Nothobranchius furzeri: one gene and its partner. The protein of the gene in region 1 purifies or fractionates together with the protein of each later gene. This does not show direct contact. Links are inferred from orthologs where the notes say so. Each region holds a gene or a part of one and is shown in the gene's direction. Other genes may lie near its edges.

Evidence for each region.
Region 2: the proteins of mphosph10 (region 1) and imp4 purify together in Homo sapiens (affinity purification with mass spectrometry; 3 studies listed by BioGRID and IntAct, with this or other methods). This does not show direct contact. The link is inferred for Nothobranchius furzeri from reciprocal best matches to the Homo sapiens genes MPHOSPH10 and IMP4.

What each region holds. Positions count from the first base shown.
Region 1 is NC_091749.1:64,481,810-64,491,636, forward strand, and holds the start of mphosph10 (U3 small nucleolar ribonucleoprotein protein MPP10), read left to right. Parts: upstream 1-4,930; 5' UTR 4,931-4,996; coding exon 4,997-5,082; intron 5,083-5,864; coding exon 5,865-6,528; intron 6,529-6,601; coding exon 6,602-6,777; intron 6,778-6,865; coding exon 6,866-7,031; intron 7,032-9,827. Other genes in the region: fth1a (ferritin, heavy polypeptide 1a), read left to right, coding at 1-16; mcee (methylmalonyl-CoA epimerase, mitochondrial), read right to left, coding at 3,221-3,373, 3,699-4,027, 4,861-4,894. UniProt on the Homo sapiens protein: Component of the 60-80S U3 small nucleolar ribonucleoprotein (U3 snoRNP). Required for the early cleavages during pre-18S ribosomal RNA processing. Part of the small subunit (SSU) processome, first precursor of the small eukaryotic ribosomal subunit.
Region 2 is NC_091757.1:26,551,722-26,561,813, reverse strand, and holds the start of imp4 (U3 small nucleolar ribonucleoprotein protein IMP4), read left to right. Parts: upstream 1-5,153; 5' UTR 5,154-5,250; coding exon 5,251-5,253; intron 5,254-5,624; coding exon 5,625-5,733; intron 5,734-5,813; coding exon 5,814-5,897; intron 5,898-5,975; coding exon 5,976-6,085; intron 6,086-6,379; coding exon 6,380-6,512; intron 6,513-7,748; coding exon 7,749-7,903; intron 7,904-8,003; coding exon 8,004-8,098; intron 8,099-8,166; coding exon 8,167-8,240; intron 8,241-9,893; coding exon 9,894-10,006; 3' UTR 10,007-10,092. Other genes in the region: uncharacterized protein, read right to left, coding at 683-781, 868-893, 1,062-1,151, 3,410-3,694, 3,925-4,044, 4,223-4,314, 4,555-4,577, 4,687-4,758 and 1 more. UniProt on the Homo sapiens protein: Component of the 60-80S U3 small nucleolar ribonucleoprotein (U3 snoRNP). Required for the early cleavages during pre-18S ribosomal RNA processing. Part of the small subunit (SSU) processome, first precursor of the small eukaryotic ribosomal subunit.

The sequences.
Region 1 (9,827 bases):
TGGCGAGAGCAGCTAAATCGGATCAAACAGCTGGGCTACATTCATGTTAACATTTAAGCCACTAGTTTAATGTCATCTGCATTTTAAGTTGCATGAGATCCCTCCACTAGCTCTTAGCTTTGCTTGTTACATTCTTGTGAAATGCCTAATAAAAACCAAATGAACCAGAAACACCTGTGAGTTATTCGGATGTTTTCACTTCCCCATGAAACTGAATATCGAAACTGCCTTGGACGCCTGGTTGTGAAGGGAGAGGTTTCTGATTTTTAGAATCTGTAACAATCTAAACCTATGAATGCTGAGGTGACCTGTATGAGGTCATTTGGCACAGGTTACGCCCTCTTGACATTTTAAAACGTGAATAATTACAGTTTTCCAGAAGTTTGCAATGCCCAGAAAATATACAGCATGTTGGAAAATGACCAGCTTTAAGTGAAATTACAGGTGTCTAATGCTGTCCAGGTACTTAAAGATCCGCTGATACAGAGCCTAGTCTGACCTGAAACCCTGACTGGGATGTCAGTGAAACTGGTTTTTGCTCTTTAAACTGCCAGTTTCCAACAAACTGGAGTTTGCTGACTTGACAACCTGCTGGAGGTGACGTCCGCTATGTTTCAGGGTGGTCTGCTCTGCCCACTCCCTATTCATGTTCACTTAAAAAGCAAAATGCTGCAGTTTTTCCGGTTTGCATGAAATTATCTTGGAGAAATATTTTTGAAACTCCATCCCTGGTGTCTGAATACTTTGGAGCAGTGGCATCTTTTATTTTCATCCAATATTCAATTTACTGCACTAGCAGCTACTTAAATATCTAAAGTCTAGTCAGTTATTTTGCTGTTTCAGTGAGTTCGTGTTGCAGATGAATGCAGAACTTGTGGGTTTGATCTTGTGTCACACAAATGTACGGGATGTTAGGAGTCACATGAAAACAGTTCCTACTTCCCGGTTTGATTTTATTCACGTCATTTAAAAGAACCTGACCAAACCATGACTCGGCTTTCTGGAATTTCCATGTTTACAGTCTGCCTTAGGCTGCTGACACAGGAAATACGATGCTGCAAAGACAAGATTCCTCTGAGCGTTTCTTCAGAGCAGAGAGGACAATAAGTGTACATGAAGTTTCCCTCATATTTCTGTAGAGGTTAATTTGTATTTTTTTGTCTGCGGGTTAAAGTCTGCTGGGCTTTTCTGAGTTGTCCAATAAAACCAAACAGGGAATGAGTCAAATGTTAATGCGTCGGCAGCTTTTGCAATCATCTGTTTCCTGTTTTCTTTTGGGTTTGAGTGAACAAATATTTGATTTTTGCTCCCGTTTGATTCAGCTGTAATTAATTTTGACATTTTGTTCATTTTGCTAATGTCAACATTTTCAAAAGTCCATTTCTCCCCATCAGAACAGAGAGCTGCAGTTGCTCTGAAATCACAGAAATGATTTTTCCTCTTTGGAAGTGTTTGCTTTATGATCCACATGTTTAATACTGGACTTTAACTCGGTAGGGTCGAGGGGGGCTGGTTCCCATTCCCAGCAGGCGAGGGGCCGGGACACCCTGGGCATGTCACCAGTCCATCAGGTTCACACGCACACACTGGTCGCTAGCTCCGGCCCTGGGGCCAGAACTTTCTCATGGTCCCTACGACCCGCTTTAGAACCTGAGACATGGCATTTGAGGCCGTGGCCCCAAAACTGTGGAAAGCCTTGCTGACTAATTGTTCATTTAGGATGCAGCTGAAAAAGCTTCTTTTCAGACAAGCATCCCCCGTCTCTTTTACCTTTTATTAGAATTAGTTTTTAATGTATCACTTTTATATTTTTACCGTTTTTGTGAAGCACTTTGTGATTTTATCTGTGAAAAGTTTTCTAGAAATAAATATCTTCTTCGGGACAATGTCGAGTCTCCATTAACCTAACATGCATGTTTTGGTCTGTGGGAGGAAGCCAGAGCACCCTGGGGAGAACATGCCAACCCTGCAGAAAGACCACAACCGTTCCACCATAATGTGCTTTCTTTTGAGCAAAGAAAAGAAAATGCTGATATCAAAGATGAATTTCTACCCACTAAAATCATTCCTCCTGGTGAATAAACAGGCTTTTGTTTCTACGTGGCTACGGCACCAGTCTAGGATCTGTTTTTGTCAACACCTTCAAAAATGCTGCAGCACAACCCGGGATCACAGCCTTAGCCTCTGTATACAAGGTTCCTCCTTTGTTTATGACATCTTGATTGTTTTAAGCCTTTAAATGTACTTTGGTATTTTATTCTGCATCAGTTACTGAGGCCAGGTGAGAAAATGTTCCTGATGTACGAAGAGGCATATTAAAGCGCAGAAGAGATCAGGCTTCCTTTGTAGCTTAGTCTACAGCTTAGACTTTCACATCAGAACCCTGATGTCAACCCTAACCAGAAAAAAACTCACATTTTTCAATCTGTCACAAATAAAACAGAATGAGGTAAATATTAACAAGCTTTTGGGCTGCATTTGAAATTGTTTTCTTATCCTTATTGTTCCGGAATAGATTAAACATGAAGCATTCTACAACTTGTTTTTCTTTTACAGCACATCAGTGTGTGTGTGTGTGTGTGTGTGTGTGCGCGCGCCATGTGCCCAAGCCAATAGCGATGGCAAATTTAATTTCAAATGCAGTGCAGAGTTTTTACCTGACATCGGCACAACACTGAGTTTTAGGCAGAAAATTTAAATATTAACTAAAATGCAGTTAAGTGCAAAACTATTGACTACACGTGTCTGCAGCACGATTAGACACACATTTATATAGTTTATCAGAAAAAAAGTTGATTTGGGGGTGACTTGCTCTTTAAATTACATTTTAAAATCTGCTGTTTTATGTTCTTGCTCCTGGAAAACATTTTGAATTGCTTCTCTGTATGAAGTGTTCGATATAAATAAAAGATGCCTTGGAACATGTGCAAGGTACTGTTTATCCGTATTTGAAATATGAGCTGTAAAACATGCTGTTGTGTGAAACCATGTTACTAGATTGTTGCTGGACAATGAAGAGACAATAAAGCAAGCACACACCCACGAAAGAATCCCTAAGCAATGCTTTGCAAGAGCTTTTATAGAAATGGTCACACATCACACTAGACCTAAGCCAGAACAAAACAGGAACATCACAACCAGCAATCAGCACTCGCATCCCTGCAATCATCTAAGTAATGATGGAGTAAATGGACACGAAGGCGTCTTCGGTCCCCGACGTTCACGCTTCTTCTAACTCCACCAGCACCCCGTCACAGTCTTTAGGATGGAGAAACATGACCGGCTTCCCGTGAGCGCCTATTCGCGGCTCCGCTGACAAAGTTCTGATGTTCTTTGCTTTCAGATCGGCCACTGCAGCATTAATGTCATCTACCTGCAAACAGGCGGAAAACGTAGTTAATCATTAATCTAACTAGAATCACTGGGTTACTACCCTATTGAACCTCTGAGTGGGAAAAGTACAGCGTCAACACAAAATCACCCGTCATTAACCTCTTTTAATTTCACAAAATTACACACAAACCCTTTATGAACTATTATGGACTAGTCCACTAAGGTGTATCCGTGCTGCAGACTGTTTTGCTCCTGATGTGACAGGAAAGATGTCAGTGGTTTAATTATAGTTGCATAAATCAGTATGTTATTAGCGGGGTAAATATGTGTTGCGTCTTCTGACTCACGCCGTCGATGTCTCTCACCTCGATACAGACATGGTGCATCCCTCCGGACTTGTTCTTCTGTAAGAAACCAGAGATGGGGCTCTTCTCCCCCAGAGGATGGAGCAGCTCCAGCTTGGTGTTGCCCAGCTCCACGAACACCGTGTAGACACCGTGCTCAGGCAAAGGCACCTTTTCGCTCACCGTGGCTCCGAGCACATCGCGATACAAGGCCGTGGCCTTCTCCATGTCAGGGACGGCAATGGCTACATGGTTCAGCTTCCCCAATTTCCACAGAGACCCAGGAAGTGGCGCTGTCGTCGAATGTGACCTCAGGAGGGAAACGCCAGAACATCTGGAAATTCCTGCCACTGAATAAACACAATAAAATAAAAATAATGTAAAAATAATTAAGAGCTGAGCTGTTTAGATAAACAGCATTAGATACTGAATAAACCACTATCACTTCTTTAAATGGATATATTCCGGATACATTTTAATGTTTAATATTTACACAAAACTCCTTAAATCCAGGAAGCACCAGGGATATGAAACGTACGGTTTTGGTGAATGTTTTTGTACCACAGACGTGAATTTATTTAAAAAATGTACTAAACTGTGTCACATACATGATTCAGGAAACAATTTATAATTTAAGATATTTTAATTTGAGATACTTGTATGTGTGTGTGTGTGTGTGTGTGTGTGTGTGTGTGTACATACTGAGGACCATTTTGACCATTTTCCCCACAAATTGAGGACATGTTTTGGTCCTCGTTTTTTTTAAGCTTACCAGTTGGTTTTTGAGGTCTGGTGTGAATTAAGTTTTGGTTAAGGTTAGGGTTAGGAACAGATCAGCATTGGTTATGGTTAGGGTATGGGTATGAGTTAGGCATAGTGGAGTCACATAAATGAATGGAAGTCACTGAGGGTACTCACTACGATAGAAAGACAGACAATATTTATAGAAATGTAATATTTATAGAAATGTATTCATAAAAACATTTAGTTTTGACTGTATCTTCTCATTTTTAACCTGAAAACGCAAAAAGAAAGTAAACACAACACATCGCGAGTTGCGCTTAAGTCGAGAGAGACGATTTGGAGAGCAACTATCGGCAACTATACACTCTTATTTGTCAAGGCAGAATGCACCGGAGAGAAGCCTGACTGTAGCAGTTAGCTTTTATCGATATAAACAAACCTGCAACCTTCAGCAGCGACGTCGCCATTTTCATTATTATTTTGTTTTTACGTAGGAACCAATCTGTAGCGGCGGACGCGTTTCTGGTCGGGCCTGTTTACCTGCAACACTTTCGGCTACACATGTGTAGGAAAACATGGCGGGTGCAGAAATGTGGGCCGTACTGGAGGATTGTGTCAAAACGATAAATGTTAACACGGCACAACCAGAAAACTTTCTAAGGCGAGTGTTCTGCATTATTTTACTAAAGTTTTATTCTTTTAAACGAGATATTTACTTGACCAATCATCGGCTAAAGCTAAATGCTAATGCTAGCAAATACTTTAGAGAGCTGTTAGGTTAAACTTATTTAAATAAAATAGTTGAGAACGGCTTTCTTTCAGATTTAGAGTCACTTTTTTTATTAAATTAAATGAAAGAAAATGTCATTTTATTAGATTTGACACAATCGGTGACAGCTAATATCGAAAATTAGGATTTATTTGGTTTTATGATCTGTCTCTGACTAAAGGCTGTAGCTGAGTGACACCAACAGTACAGCAAGCTAATAATAATAAAACTCGAGATATTGTGAGACGAGAGGTTAATCCATCCGTGAAATAACATTAACCTGCTAGATTATCTGAAGTAACTGGACAGTGGTGCCTCAAAATGATCACATAGTCTTATGGTCTAATTTGATCTGGATGTGTCTGTTCTCGTTTAAGGACCTAAATGCTTATGTTGCCATACAATATAACTAAAACATTTAAAACTATGATTTACAGACAAAGGTTGTTTGCATGATATCCAAGATTTTGTCCTTTTTTCCTTATTTAATTTTGCTTTGATGATTAATTTCTAACCATTTTCACCATCATGAGTTTTGGTAAACAGCATGGATGTTGTATGATAGTTGGCTGTCACAGATGAAAGCTGCGCTGAGTTCAAACCAGTGGTCATTTTCAAAAGAACCTCTTTCCCTGCAACACGTTTGTCTCACTGATTGTTTTTCTACTTTTCAGCCTTCAAGATGGTGCTGCAGCAGAATTTACCTCCCTCACGAAGACCCTGTATGACCTCCACAAATCCCAGGAGCCTTCAGATTGTAAAGGCAGCCCGCTGGCTCAGCTCATTGTGGACAACTTTGACGAGGAGCAGATTTGGCAGGAGCTAGAGCTCCAGAATGAAGCTGTGCTGACATATTTCACTAAATCTATTGAAGGAGCATTGTCAGATGAGGCATTAACTTTGCTGCCAGAGGAAGAGGTGGTAGAAGATGAAAAAAGTGGTGATGAAGGCGAAGAAGAAATGAATAATGATGAAAATGTAATTAAAATTCCTCCTAGAATGCAAAAGAAAAAGGCTGTGGAAGCTGAAGAAGGGTCAGAGCAGGGCTCAGAAGATGACTCGGATATAGATTTTGATGTGGATGCTCTGGAGAAACGAGAGAAGAAGAAAGCGAGTGCACGGGCAGGCTCCAAAACAAAACTGGTTCCCTCAGAAGTTGACGATAAGTTCTTCAAACTGTCAGAAATGGAGTCATTTCTTGATGAAATGGACAAGCGAGAAGGAAGAGAGGAGGATGGCGACAACAATGTTGACTACTTCCAAGACCTGCACTCGGATGAGGATGACGATTTTGACCTCGGTGAAATACTGTCCTCAAAAAAGCCGAAGAAACACGCGGTATGATTTTATCACTCATCACTTTGGGCTCTGATCATATGGAAGAGACAAATAAATGTTTATTTTCTAACAGCAGGTAAAAAGCTCCAGAGATCTCAGGTACAAGGACTTTTTTGGTGCTGTGGGGGGCAAACCAGCTAAGACTGATGACCAGTCAGATGGAGATGATGATGCGAGTGAGGAAGAGGATGAAGAAGAGTTGGAAGAAGAAGAAGATGGTGATTATCGTGATGAAGAGGACAACGATGAGTGAGTCGATCTGGGTCTAATTTGTGCTGTGGTGAGGGGGGAAGCTTGTTCTGTGAATTCCAACTCATTAAAAAAATGTTTTCCTCAGGGATGAGCAAGAAAGTCGCTCCAAAGCAGCTCACAAGAAGGTGACCTTTGACCTCTCTGGAGAAGAGAGCAGTGAGGGGGAGGACATGGAGGAGATTTTTGGAGGAAAAGCTTCAAGTTCAGAAAAATCCGAATTAAAATCATCTTTTGAGAAACGGCAGGAAAAGGTAAAAGTTTCTCCACGGCTTGTTTTGCAGCAGAAGCTTCAGGATGAGAGGTCAGGTCACCTGGGCCCTCATTCATAGAAACTCTCCTATATTCCTGAAGGACATTTAGAATGTTCCTACGAAAATCCAAAATCCTGATTCATCAAACCACTCATGCACACCTTCCTCCACAATCAACTGTTGATAGATCCCACCTGTGTGTTCCCAGGTGCCCGTTCAGTCGTTTACATGCAGAAACGCCCTTAATTAACAATATTTGGTCACGGCACATCCTCAGCTCACCAGGGGAATCCCTGTAAATCAAATTATTGGAAGCAAGATCGCGGCACTGGCTGCTGAAGTAGAATAGAACCAAACAAGTTGCAGAGGTTGTAAATGCAGTCAGGACAGAGGAGAGGATCCTGTCAGAAATGAAGAAAATTGGTTCCACTTAAAATTAAATATGAAAAACACAAGAGTAGCGGACTGTTCGTTTTATGTAGTTATTTGCAGTTTACAGGGAGTGCAGAATTATTAGGCAAGTTGTATTTTTGGGGAATAATTTTATTATTGAACAACAACCATGTTCTCAATGAACCCAAACAACTCATTAATGTCAAAGCTGAATGTTTTTGGAAGTAGTTTTTAATTTGTTTTTAGTTTTAGCTATTTTAGGGGGATATCTGTGTGTGCAGGTGACTATTACTGTACATAATTATTAGGCAACTTAACAAAAAAACAAATGTATACCCATTTAAATTATTTATTTTTACCAGTGAAACCATTATAACTTCTCCACATTCCCAAATATACATTTCTGACATTCAAAAACAATACATAAACAAATCAGCGACCAATATAGCCACCTTTCTTTGCAAGGACACTCAAAAGCCTGCCATCCATGGATTCTGTCAGTGTTTTGATCTGTTCACCATCAACATTGCGTGCAGCAGCAACCACAGCCTCCCAGACACTGTTCAGAGAGGTGTACCGTTTTCCCTCCTTGTAAATCTCACATTTGATGATGGACCACAGGTTCTCAATGGGGTTCGGATCAGGTGAACAAGGAGGCCATGTCATTAGTGTTTCTTCTTTTATACCCTTTCTTGCCAGCCACGCTGTGGAGTACTTGGACGCGTGTGATGGAGCATTGTCCTGCATGAAAATCATGTTTTTCTTGAAGGATGCAGACTTCTTCCTGTACCACTGCTTGAAGAAGGGGTCTTCCAGAAACTGGCAGTAGGACTGGGAGTTGAGCTTGACTCCATCCTCAACCCGAAAGGCCCCACAAACTCATCTTTGATGATACCAGCCCAAACCAGTACTCCACCTCCACCTTGCTTGCGTCTGAGTCGGACTGGAGCTCACTGCCCTTTACCAATCCAGCCACGGGCCCATCCATCTGGCCCATCAAGACTCACTCTCATTTCATCAGTCCATAAAACCTTAGAAAAATCAGTCTTGAGATATTTCTTGGCCCAGTCTTGATGTTTCAGCTTGTGTGTCTTGTTCAGTGGTGGTCGTCTTTCAGCCTTTCTTACCTTGGCCATGTCTCTGAGTATTGCACACCTTGTGCTTTTGGGCACTCCAGTGATGTTGCAGCTCTGAAAAATGGCCAAACTGGTGGCAAGTGGCATCTTGGCAGCTGCACGCTTGACTTTTCTCAGTTCATGGGCAGTTATTTTGCTCCTTGGTTTGTCCACACGCTTCTTGCGACCCTGTTGACTATTTTGAATGAAACGCTTGATTGTTCGATGATCACGCTTCAGAAGCTTTGCAGTTTTACGACTGCTGCATCCCTCTGCAAGATATCTCACTATTTTTGACTTTTCTGAGCCTGTCAAGTCCTTCTTTTGACCCATTTTGCCAAAGGAAAGGAAGTTGCCTAATAATTATGCACACCTGATATAGGTGTTGATGTCATTAGACCACACCCCTTCTCATTACAGAGATGCACATCACCTAATATGCTTAACTGGTAGTAGGCTTTCGAGCCTATACAGCTTGGAGTAAGACAACATGCATGAAGAAGATGATGTGGACAAAATACTCATTTGCCTAATAATTCTGCACTCCCTGTATATCCAAGGGGCTGAATGCAGGTTCTGTTTGTTCTGGTTTTTGTAGTCAACGATCTGATATGGACCGGTATCAGACCCATGCTTTTTTTTTGCTCCAAAAGAGGAATGATGTCCTTCAGGATCAGTGCGCTCATGGAAAACGTGTCCCCTCCAGAGTGAATGCCCTACCAAATCCTCTAATAACACGAGATCAGCCATGCTACAGTGTCAGCTTCCTGTTGGCCACAGGTGCTAGCATTCGTTATGTGATGAAGCCGTTTTTCAGCCACAGTCACTTATTGCTAAAATAATTTCTGGATGAGGAACAAACATGGATGACTGAAACCTTCAGTGTTGCAGTTCTGCTGTTCTACCACTAGATGCTGTTTGTACGCAGGCTCAGAGCTGTTCTTACATTTAGAAATATTTTCACACACAGGTACAAAATAGGGAATACCAAACAATGCGTGAAATTGTTTCTAAGCACAAAACGCACACAGACCTGTGCGTAAACACGGTTGATGAATTCAGGCCCTGTAGCCTCTGAGCTGTCCAGATGATTTAAGGTGGGCCTTGGACGGGAGCAGGATCTCTCTGAGCTGCTGCTGTCGGTGACAAACGGTGAACATCATCCCAGAGGGAGGTTGAAACACGGTGTTCTTGTGAGTCTCAGGGCCTCGCTCTTGTGCGCCTCGAGTTTTAAACATGTCGGCCAGATAAACACTCCCTCTCGTGCCAGAGTCGTCGCATGCATCTG
Region 2 (10,092 bases), on another chromosome or scaffold:
TGAAGGAGACCTCAACCATTAGTGCTTGTTCTGCTTTTAGAGCCCTTGCAGGCTCATTGGTTCTGAAGGTTCTTCTCTCCTGGTTCTGGACCTGCTGCGCCCTGAGCATCCATTATGAGATCTCAGTGAGCTGAGTCTTTTATTGTTTAGCTGAAGAACAAAGCACGGCATCGAGGTTTTCCTGTAAACATCTCCATCTTCTCCAGGTTTTATCTATCGCTGCCGAACCTCCGGGCTCTGAACGGGTCAGAATCGTTAACATTACTGAAGCTGTATGACTCATCCTGCTGTTTGTGGGAAAGAAATCAGCTCAAATCTTTATTTTACCAGCAATCATCAAACAGTTGAAAGCTCCCATAAACCAAAACAAACACAGCCCGTGTTCTCCTGTCTGACTTTTAAGGATCTGTTGGTTTAAAGGTGAAGCGGCAGCCTCCTCCTCTGGGCTGTAGTGGGATCAATGCTGATGATGGTTTCGAGCAAAGCCCCCGTCTCGTGGAAACCATCCCCCTGAAACGACTCGGTCAAACCCTTCAGAACGAGTTCAACTTAGGAAATCCTGTTTCCGCTGCTTTTGTTTGGTTCTGGACCTTTGTTTACTTTCTGACACCTTCCACCTGTTTGAGTTTGGTTTGTCCAATAAATACAAACTTATTTCTTAAAACAGTGAAGGTCTTGTCTGTCAGACTTCAGAACGGGTTGTGACCACTTCTGGACTGGACACCAGCTGATCTGCAGACTCCGGATCAGCCAGAGATCCGCTCACCGGCTCCTCTGCTCTCTGAAAACAAACGGTGACACTCCCAATGTGAGACGTGTTAGCTAGCACTAAATCAGTTACATGTAAAAATATGAGCCACATTTTACCTTCGTGCAGCAGCGTTGAACTTTAGCTGTGAAGGAAAAAGCATCAACTTCATTTATTGTCTCGGTATTTGAACCAGAACAACAAAAAGTCTAAAAAAATCCTTTAATCTGAAAAGTGAAAATGAAAAATTTTAACAGAGCTTCTGCACCAAGCTGCCTCCTTGTGAAGCGACAGGTTCCTGGTGGAGACGTACCTTTGGAGCAGGTGTAGATGATTATGGTGGTCATGGGGAGCAGGGGAAGAAGGACCCAGCGAGCAAAGCTCCAGATGAACGCTGCTGAGGCTGCGTGGTGTAGAGCACAGGGTAGGTCAGATACACACAAACACACCGTCTGTCAGCAGCTGTTTAAACCACAGACGGTCTCAGGTTTACAACGCCGAATGAGACTGGAGGACACATCTGGTGATGCAGCCGATACTATGGGGCTAGACCCGTGCCAAAACCCGTGCACGTGGTTTTGGCACGGGTCTAGCCCCATATGAACCCGTGTCTGACTGGAGAGGCGAGCAGGAGACCAGAAGTAATACAGCTAGAACGTTCTGAGGAAGCCGGTGCCTACCATGTGATGTGATACCCAACACCACCATTCACTGCTGGTTTAAGCCAAAGACAAACATCTCTCAACTTCAAACCAATTGTTTATTTACTGTGGTGGCCATCTTTATTTTTCGGATATTTTAAGGTAAAAACGGCGTCCGTGTCCAAACCCAGAGGCAGCGTCCTTCTGAGTACGCTTTTTATGGCAGATTACGTCACAGCAAACATCTAGATCGTCCAAATCCAAAATCTGCTCAAAATGTGTCCTCATGTCCCAGAAATTCAAGGACAAGTTATTGGCAAAGGCCGTCCCAGGGTCTACCGCAGGCTGAATGGGAGATCTCTGTTTTAGTAAAAGTAGAGGATGAAGCAGGAGGATTACAGTTTCAAATGGTGTGTTCATATCTGGCAGGAATTCTTCATTTACATTTGGGTTTTTAAACATTTTTGTCAAAAATAAGCAAAAGCAGTCTAGGAAGGACTTGGCCTATGTGGATTATGTAGGACGGGTCCTTAATAGGATGCTGCCCCTGAATTTGGACACAGATACAGTCACATCACTGTCAGCTACTAACGTACCAGATACGACCTCGTGTTAATGAAACGAACAAAAACATAAGTGGAAAAGACAGAAACTGGGAGATCATTTCCCACTGCTCCCACAGAGGACATGCTTCACCTGTGTGTGATGACTAATGGGCCTTTAAAACAGGTGTGTCCAAAACACGGCCCGGGGGCCATTTGTGTCCCTCCAGCAGGCTGTTGGGGTAGATCAACACTTTTTATGATTTCTTTGTTCAGATTTTTACTATTATGGCTATTTTAATCATTTTTGACCCATGAGAATAAATAAAAAACAGTTTCAGCTTTTTTATTTCTACTCTCATCTTGAGAAGTTTGGACATCTGCTCTAAAACCTGCTGGACTGAGTCCTGTGCCAGTCTTCTGCCCTCTGGTGGAAGCTTTAGGTGCTGCAGGTGTTCATGTGTCCTAGATTTACACAATAAAATATAACGGATGACTTCATAATTGTTCGTTTCCACCATCATCATTTTCTGATTTTCACTTTCTGCATCAGTGTTAATGAGCGAACAACTTTTGATTAAACTGAATAAAACTTTTAAGTAACCCAACATCTGTGATGAACAGCTGATCTTTATTAACTCTAGAATAAGGACAGACTTTTTAAGTTCTTACATCACCAGATGGATTTAGGTAATAAGAGCTAACGTCTTAACTCTGGTGTTGTGGTCCAGCGTTTTCTACGACCACTTCGGTCCCAAATATGTTGTTTACAAACACAAAACTAGGAGGATGTTTACTGTGTAACTTTTATTGTTCCAAATGAATAAAATAATACTAAAATATTATTTGCTGTTAGGTTTCTTGTATGGATGTTAAATGGTACCAAACATTAGGATGTTTATTGCTGTTGTTAATAATAATAATAATAATAATAATAGTATTATTATTGTTATAGGGCAGCGCAGTGGCGCAGTGGTTAGAGTTGTTGCCTTGTAGCAAGAAGGTCCTGGGTTCGATTCCCGGCCTGGGATCTTTCTGCATGGAGTTTGCATGTTCTCCCTGTGCATGCGTGGGTTCTCTCCGGGTTCTCCGGCTTCCTCCCACAGTCCAAAAACATGACAGTTAGGTTGGTTGGTGTGTGTGTGTGTGTGTGTGTGTGTGTGTGTGTGTGTGTGTGTGTGTGTGTGTGAGTGATTGTTTGTTTGTCCTGTGTGTCTCTGCGTGTACCCCTCCTGATTGCCCGTTGACTGCTGGAGATAGGCACCAGGCCCCCCCCACCCCCGCGACCCCACGTGGACAAGCGGGTTCAGACAATGGATGGATGTTATTGTTATTATTAATAATAATAAATTACATTTATATAGTTCTTTTCTAGGCACTCAAACACTTTCTATTATTCACACCCTGCCGGCGCTTATGACATCAGACTTTTATTAATTACTACTGAACAGAAGTGGGACCTGAAGATGTTTACTCACAGCTGTGGATGTAACCTTCAGCCAGCTTGATGATGGTGTTATTTCTGCTCAGAACACCACACCAGAACACTCCTCCTTTACCCGGCCCCAGCACTTCCACACTGAAGGACCCGGAGTCCTGGGTCACCCTGAGCCGGCCTCCATCCACTGACTGGGCTGTGTGGCTGAAGGTGAGCCCGGTGCAGCAGTCTGCTGAGTTTCGACGGCACCAGACCCTCAGCAGGTTCTGGTGCTGTGGCTCATGGGGACACCACAGCTTCTGCCAAAGAACAGCTGCCCCATCACCTGCAAACAGTAAGAAACTGCTGTCAAATCATCATCATCATCATCATCATTATTATTACATGTCTGTTTCAGATTAATTCACCAGCCAGTGGATGAGGTGAACATTAGAAAAGCTTTGCTTAAAAAAATCTAAAATACATTTATTATATCAGTAAACTTGACTGATCCCATTTAAAGTTCTCTACTTAAAGCAGTTTACCATCTATTATCATTACAATGTTGACTCTTACCTGTAAGTAAAAACAAAATCACAATAAAATAATGCATGTCACGGCCACTGGCTGAGTAGCTCGAGTCTGCCTGATGAAGAGAAAGAGTCAAGTGGAAAAGGGTTTTAAAGATAACCAAACCTTATCTTTAGACCCAACAGGAAACATCATCACCACTGATGCTTCTGTTTGTTTCCTCTTGCTGGAAGAGCATATCATTGCTTCTCATAAAGCAAGGCACCTTCACGTTTTAATAAGTGTAATTTGAATACAACTTTTCTTTACAGCCATTTGCTTTCTGACATTCTGATTGGTTCACTGCCAACAGTGAGGCGGATTACGGGGGACGTGAAGCGGTCTGCAGGGATGAGGTCCACAAACTGAGTGTTGTGCATCAAACAGCCTGACACTCTACACCACCAAGACCAAGGAACTTGTCCTTGACTTCAGGTGAAACGTAGTGGACCCCGCCCCTTTCTTCATCAATGGTGAACGTGTACAGCAAGTAGAGTCATTCAAGTTCCGTGGAATACAAATCTCTGGCAAGCTGTCCTGGTCAGTAAACACCTCAGCACTCGTCAGGAAGGCCCAGCTGCAATTTCTGAAGGTGCTCAGGATGGAGAAGCTCCATCATTGAGTCTGCTGACATACGCCATGACTGTGTGGTACTGCAGCTGCATAGAGGGTGACAGGAAGAGACTGCAGAAAGATTGCATAAAACATCATCGGCTGCCCTCTCTGTCTACAATCCACAGTTCCTGCTATCTCTGCGGAGCAGCTAACATTCTGAAGGACACCCCGCGTCCAGGCTTCTACCTTTTTAGCATGTTGCCCTCTGGTAGGTGCTTCAGATCTCTACAAGCCAGAACAAAGAGATTAAGGAACTGTTTCTTTCCTGAGCAATCACAGTATTCATCTCAAACTTGCACAAACGTTAAGTGTAATGGAATATTGCACCTTAGATTTACTTGTATTATGTTATGTACGTTTTTGGAGCTGCTGACCACACACACACACACACACACACACACACACACACACACACACACACACACACACACACACACACACACACACACACTCACACACACTCACACACACACAATTCTTTTAAACCTCCTGCTTATTTCTATATTTTGTATGTAATAGCCTTTATGCACCTTATGAAGACGTGTATGCTTATTTTATATTTTGTAAATCAAATAATCTGTGGCTTTTATTATGAAACGCTCGTGAGTCAGTATCAGGCGTTTTGATTGGTCTTCCTGTCAGCCAATAGCAGCAGGTATTCGTCGTGTTTCCGGGTTCTTCTTTTCCATGTGACTTGTGAAGTTTCTCAGTACCATCATGGTGAGTTTACTGGTTTTGTGTGAATCTTTAGTAGTTTTATCGGTAACCGTCCGCTGGGAATATAGAGCTAAGTTAGCGATTTGTTTAAGCTAACTTTATCCCGCCTAGTTTAGCGCTGGTGGAGCTAAGCTAACATGAGCCAAGCTAACAAACGGGAGGTCTACCATGAAAACCTAAGATAGGTTATTATTTAAATCCTGTGTGTGTGCGTGTGCACGTGTGTGTGTGTGTGTGTGTGTGTGTGTGATTTGTGAAGGTGCTCTGATGCCGCTGGAGTGGACAGCACTCACCTAGCTGAGCGTTTCATGTTTTTGTTATTTATGGTGAGGCTGTGGAAACTGGCTCAGCTGGTGGTTTCTGTGTGTTGGTAGCTTCGTCGAGAGGTGAGACTGAGGCGGGAGTACCTGTACAGGAAGGCTCAAGAGGACCGGCTGAGAACAATCGAGGAGAAGAAACAGAAGATAAAGGGCGCTCTGGAGGGTGAGGGTTTTATTTCTTCTGTATCACGAGAGATTGGCGCTGTGTTGCCATCCGGCTGTAACGGGTTATCTCGACTGCAGAGAATCGTCTGATTCCAACTGAAGTACGGAGAGAAGCCCTGCAGCTGCAGAAGCTTCTGGACTATGATGACCAAGGGGCAGAAGGTGAGTGTTGGCTGGTGTCATTGTGAGCTCCACATATGTTCTGGGCCTCTTTTTAACGATCCGCTGTTCCTCCTGAAGGTGTCAGCTCACATGTGGACGATGAGTACAAGTGGGCCGGAGTAGAAGATCCAAAAGTCATGGTCACAACGTCCAGAGACCCGAGCTCTAGACTGAAGATGTTTGCCAAGGTTTGTGATGCCTTCACAAAGGTTAGATGATAGCTGTGAGGGAAGCTCAGGTTCCGTAGCTAGACCTGGTCCAGGGGAATGTCATCCTTCTGGGGATCTGGTGAGACCTGGTCTGGATAGAGCGTCTTTTAATAAAAGATTAAATAATCCCGGTTTTCAGAAGGGGACGACTGTGTTGGGACATTTAGGGTCTAGATAAAGAAAAGGAACGGCCAACATTCGTCAGCAGAGATCTTTATGAAAATGACACATCGGGTTTCGTAGAAGATGATAAACTTCTTGTTCCTCTTCCAGGAGGTGAAGCTGATGTTTCCCGGAGCTCAGCGCATGAACAGAGGAAACCATGAGATTGCTGCTCTGGTTCGAGCCTGTAAAGCTAATGAAGTTACAGACCTCATCATCATCCACGAAACAAGAGGACAGCCAGGTATGCTGCAGTTTCCCTCCTGCATTCTGGTTTCTGATTGGTCCATGTGGACTTCAGCAGGTAACCTCCTAGAAATCAAAAAAGTGTTGGTGATAAGTTTCAGATGATTCCACCACCCAAGGCACAAAGCTGTGGAACTGTATGAAAACTAGGAAGTACACCACTACCTGTGATGGTCTAAGCTCAGAGTCCCCAGTTAACACCGGGGGTAGGCACGTTACGGCAGCAGCGCGGTCTGCTCATGAGCTCCAGGGAGTGTCTGCACTCGGGAGATCACGATCACTGGAAAGTTGACGTATCTTCTAAAACAGTGGTACTCAGCCTTTTTTCACTGATGTACCCCCGTGAAATATTTTTTCCAGCCAAGTACCCCTAATCAGCGCAAAACCATTTTTGGTTGTAAAAAACAAAAGACCTTAAATAGAGCACGGTGCCTTCAGTGACTGATTTATTAAACTTTGAAACTGATAAACAAGTACAAAATTCAACCATTTGAAAAAAAAACTATTTTGAATATTTTAAATGTTAATACTCCATAACTAAATGTATTGGAAATATTTTTCATCACTAAAATGTGATTCTAATTAATTAATTGAAAACATTCACCATAAAACTATTTAAAACCATAAGATTACCCATTGAAAAATCCATAAATATGCAAAACACTGCACATTTTTTGTAGTATCTCTTGAACTATTTGGAAAAAAATATATATAATGAGAAATATTTAAAAAAATATCAAATACAGGCCAAAGAAATGATTAAGCTAATTATAATTAAAGATTTGTTCTCATAAAAAACATATCAACATAAAGTGTTCTCTTTTGGGATCATAGTACATCTGTTCTCTAAAAGAAATCATTAACGTCATTTTAAATAACAACAATTGCTAAAAACAAATGTAAATCTCAAAATATGTTTTTAAAAATCAAAAAGAAGACTGAAATCTTAACATGACTGCACTGATCGGAGTGTTTTTACAGACTTTTTAGTGAGACTCTTGGGCTTCACTGGGGATCTTTTTCATCCTTGGTGGCACGGAGGCAACTGCTGTGATCAAGCTCTTTTTTAGACACAGTCTGCTTCTCTGATCAGTGTCGTTAGCTAATTTCTCCCCACCATGGACGTAATTTTTTTGGGGGGGGGGGTCAGTTTAAAAAAAGAGGGGGGGGGGTGTTTTAAAAAGAACTAAAAATGGTTTCTGAATGATCTCTTGGTGTTCTGGTGTCGTTCCAGATGGTCTGGTTGTGTGCCATTTACCGTTTGGACCTACGGCCTACTTCACGCTCTACAACGTGGTGATGAGACACGACGTTCCTGATATCGGCACCATGTCAGAGGCCTACCCCCACCTCATTTTTCACAACTTCACCTCACGACTCGGCAGAAGGGTGAGCTCCAACCGTGCACTGCGCGTGCACGCACACACACACACGTGGTATTCTTGTTCCCTTGTTGGTTATGCAACTAACTAGTTGTGTTCACACACAGATATCAAATATCCTCAAGTATCTGTTCCCTGTACCCAAGGAGGACAGCAGGCGTGTGATCACGTTTGCCAACCAGGAGGACTTCATCTCTTTCAGGTCGGTGAGAGAGGACCTCCTCACATGAAATAAGTTTTTGTTGTAAAACCAAACGTTTCTTTTTTCAGACATCACACCTACAAAAAAACTGACCACAAGAACATTGAACTGACGGAGGTGGGACCACGTTTTGAGATGAAGTGTGAGTATGGATCTGGCTTTTACCATCTCTGATCTTTGGTTCGCAGCAGGGGTGATGGAACAACATGCATCTGCCAGGTTCTGCACCTACTGTCCCTCTTAAAACCATTCGTCTGTTCACCAGCTCAGTTATGTTGAATGCATGAATATTAAGTTATTCATAGAATATTATTATTCATTACAGAAATAGTTAATACTTTATCGACCCCTGGAGGAAATTGTTTCTCTGCATTTAACCCATTCCTGAGGAAGCTGCTATTTATACGGCGCCAACGGCACAACTATGGGCTCAGGATCTTCCCCGAGGATGCTTTGACACTGAGGCTTGGGAACGAACCACTAACCTACAGATTCTCGTTTTAGCCACTCTATCGTTACCGATACTTTTTAAAATGTGTTTTCTGTGAATGAAAAGCTCTAGCACACCTGTTTCAGGTGGTAGAAGTCAGTCTGAGGGGGACAGGAGCCTTACTCACCCCTGATGGGTTAACACTAAAACGACTCTTCCACTGCCTCGTTCTTCTTAAGGAGAAAATACAGCGTGGATGTTTTATCTCCGCAAATAACACAAGCCTGAATGTGTTCCACCGTTATGTGGAGTCGCTAATGCTAATGGTTAGCCACTTCTAAAGCCGGGCGTACACTGTGTGACTTTTTCACTTTTTTGAGCCGATTTTCCAGTCGTGCGAGAATCCACGAGATCGGGGCGAGTTTTGCGCCGAGCGGTCGTGTAGTGTACAGGGGGTTACGAGAGGCGATTAACACCACGTGACCAGCTACCGATCAGCAATCGTGAGCTCGCATGGACTTCTGGCGTGTTTAATATTTTGCTCGTCCCTCGTGAGGGTATCGCACTGTTGAAGCGGCGCTGCGAGCAGCTGCGACCCAAAAAGTATCAGAACCGCTCACGGCGCATGCGCAATCCTGCATCAACACCGCTCCCCGCTATTTCCCTAACAACACACACTGTTCGTTTTTGTTTCTACACGTTTTTTTATTCACAAAGATTGTCAAGAAAGCGTGTTTGTCGTGTTCATGTCAAATTAAACTGATCACAAAACACAGATTCACTTTCTTTATTTCGTTTTCCTCATCCAACCCCCATAAATCCCTGTGTGTCCTCCTGCAGCACTCCCGAAGGACAACAGGCAAAACAAGACAAAAACGTTTGACGTGCTGAGTAAAAACTGCTATTTTTAGCATATATTTTAGGTCTAATGTGTTGCTACCAGACGTACAGTGTGAGCAGTCAGGTCGCATCCGAGAACTGGGTCGTGCAGTGTGAGCGCCTGGCTCGTGAGATCTGCTCTGCGAGGAAGTTGTACAGTTTGAGCTGAAGCTGAACGCTGCGAGTGAAAAAGTTGCACAGTGTACGCCCGGCTTTAGGTGGGCAGGGCCAAAAATTCCAAATTTCCCTGTGAGGTGGAAGAGATTGGCTTTTAATGACCTGATCATTTTCCTGTCTATTTCCTTGCTGCTGTTTTTGCAGGAAATAACGTTAGAGGAAAAGTTTCACGGTCTGCGTTTTCGAAGAACTCAGGAAGCCCGATTGTATTTCAAAAAGAATAGTATTAACATGGTTTCTCAGTGAAATAAGTACAACTGTGTGGGATGATTTTAGTATGTGTTACTTACTGGTTCCTCCTGTGTTTAGTGTTCATGATCAAACTGGGAACTCTGGAGAACGAGAGCACAGCTGAAGTTGAGTGGCGTCACCATACATATACACACACGGCTAAGAAGAGGAGGTTCCTCAGTGTGCAGTAGAGAGGAACGGCGACGGAATCAACAGAGCAGTAGTGGAGAGCCGCCTGGAGGATCTCTGGTTTTCATGACAAACTGGAAACTTTGCT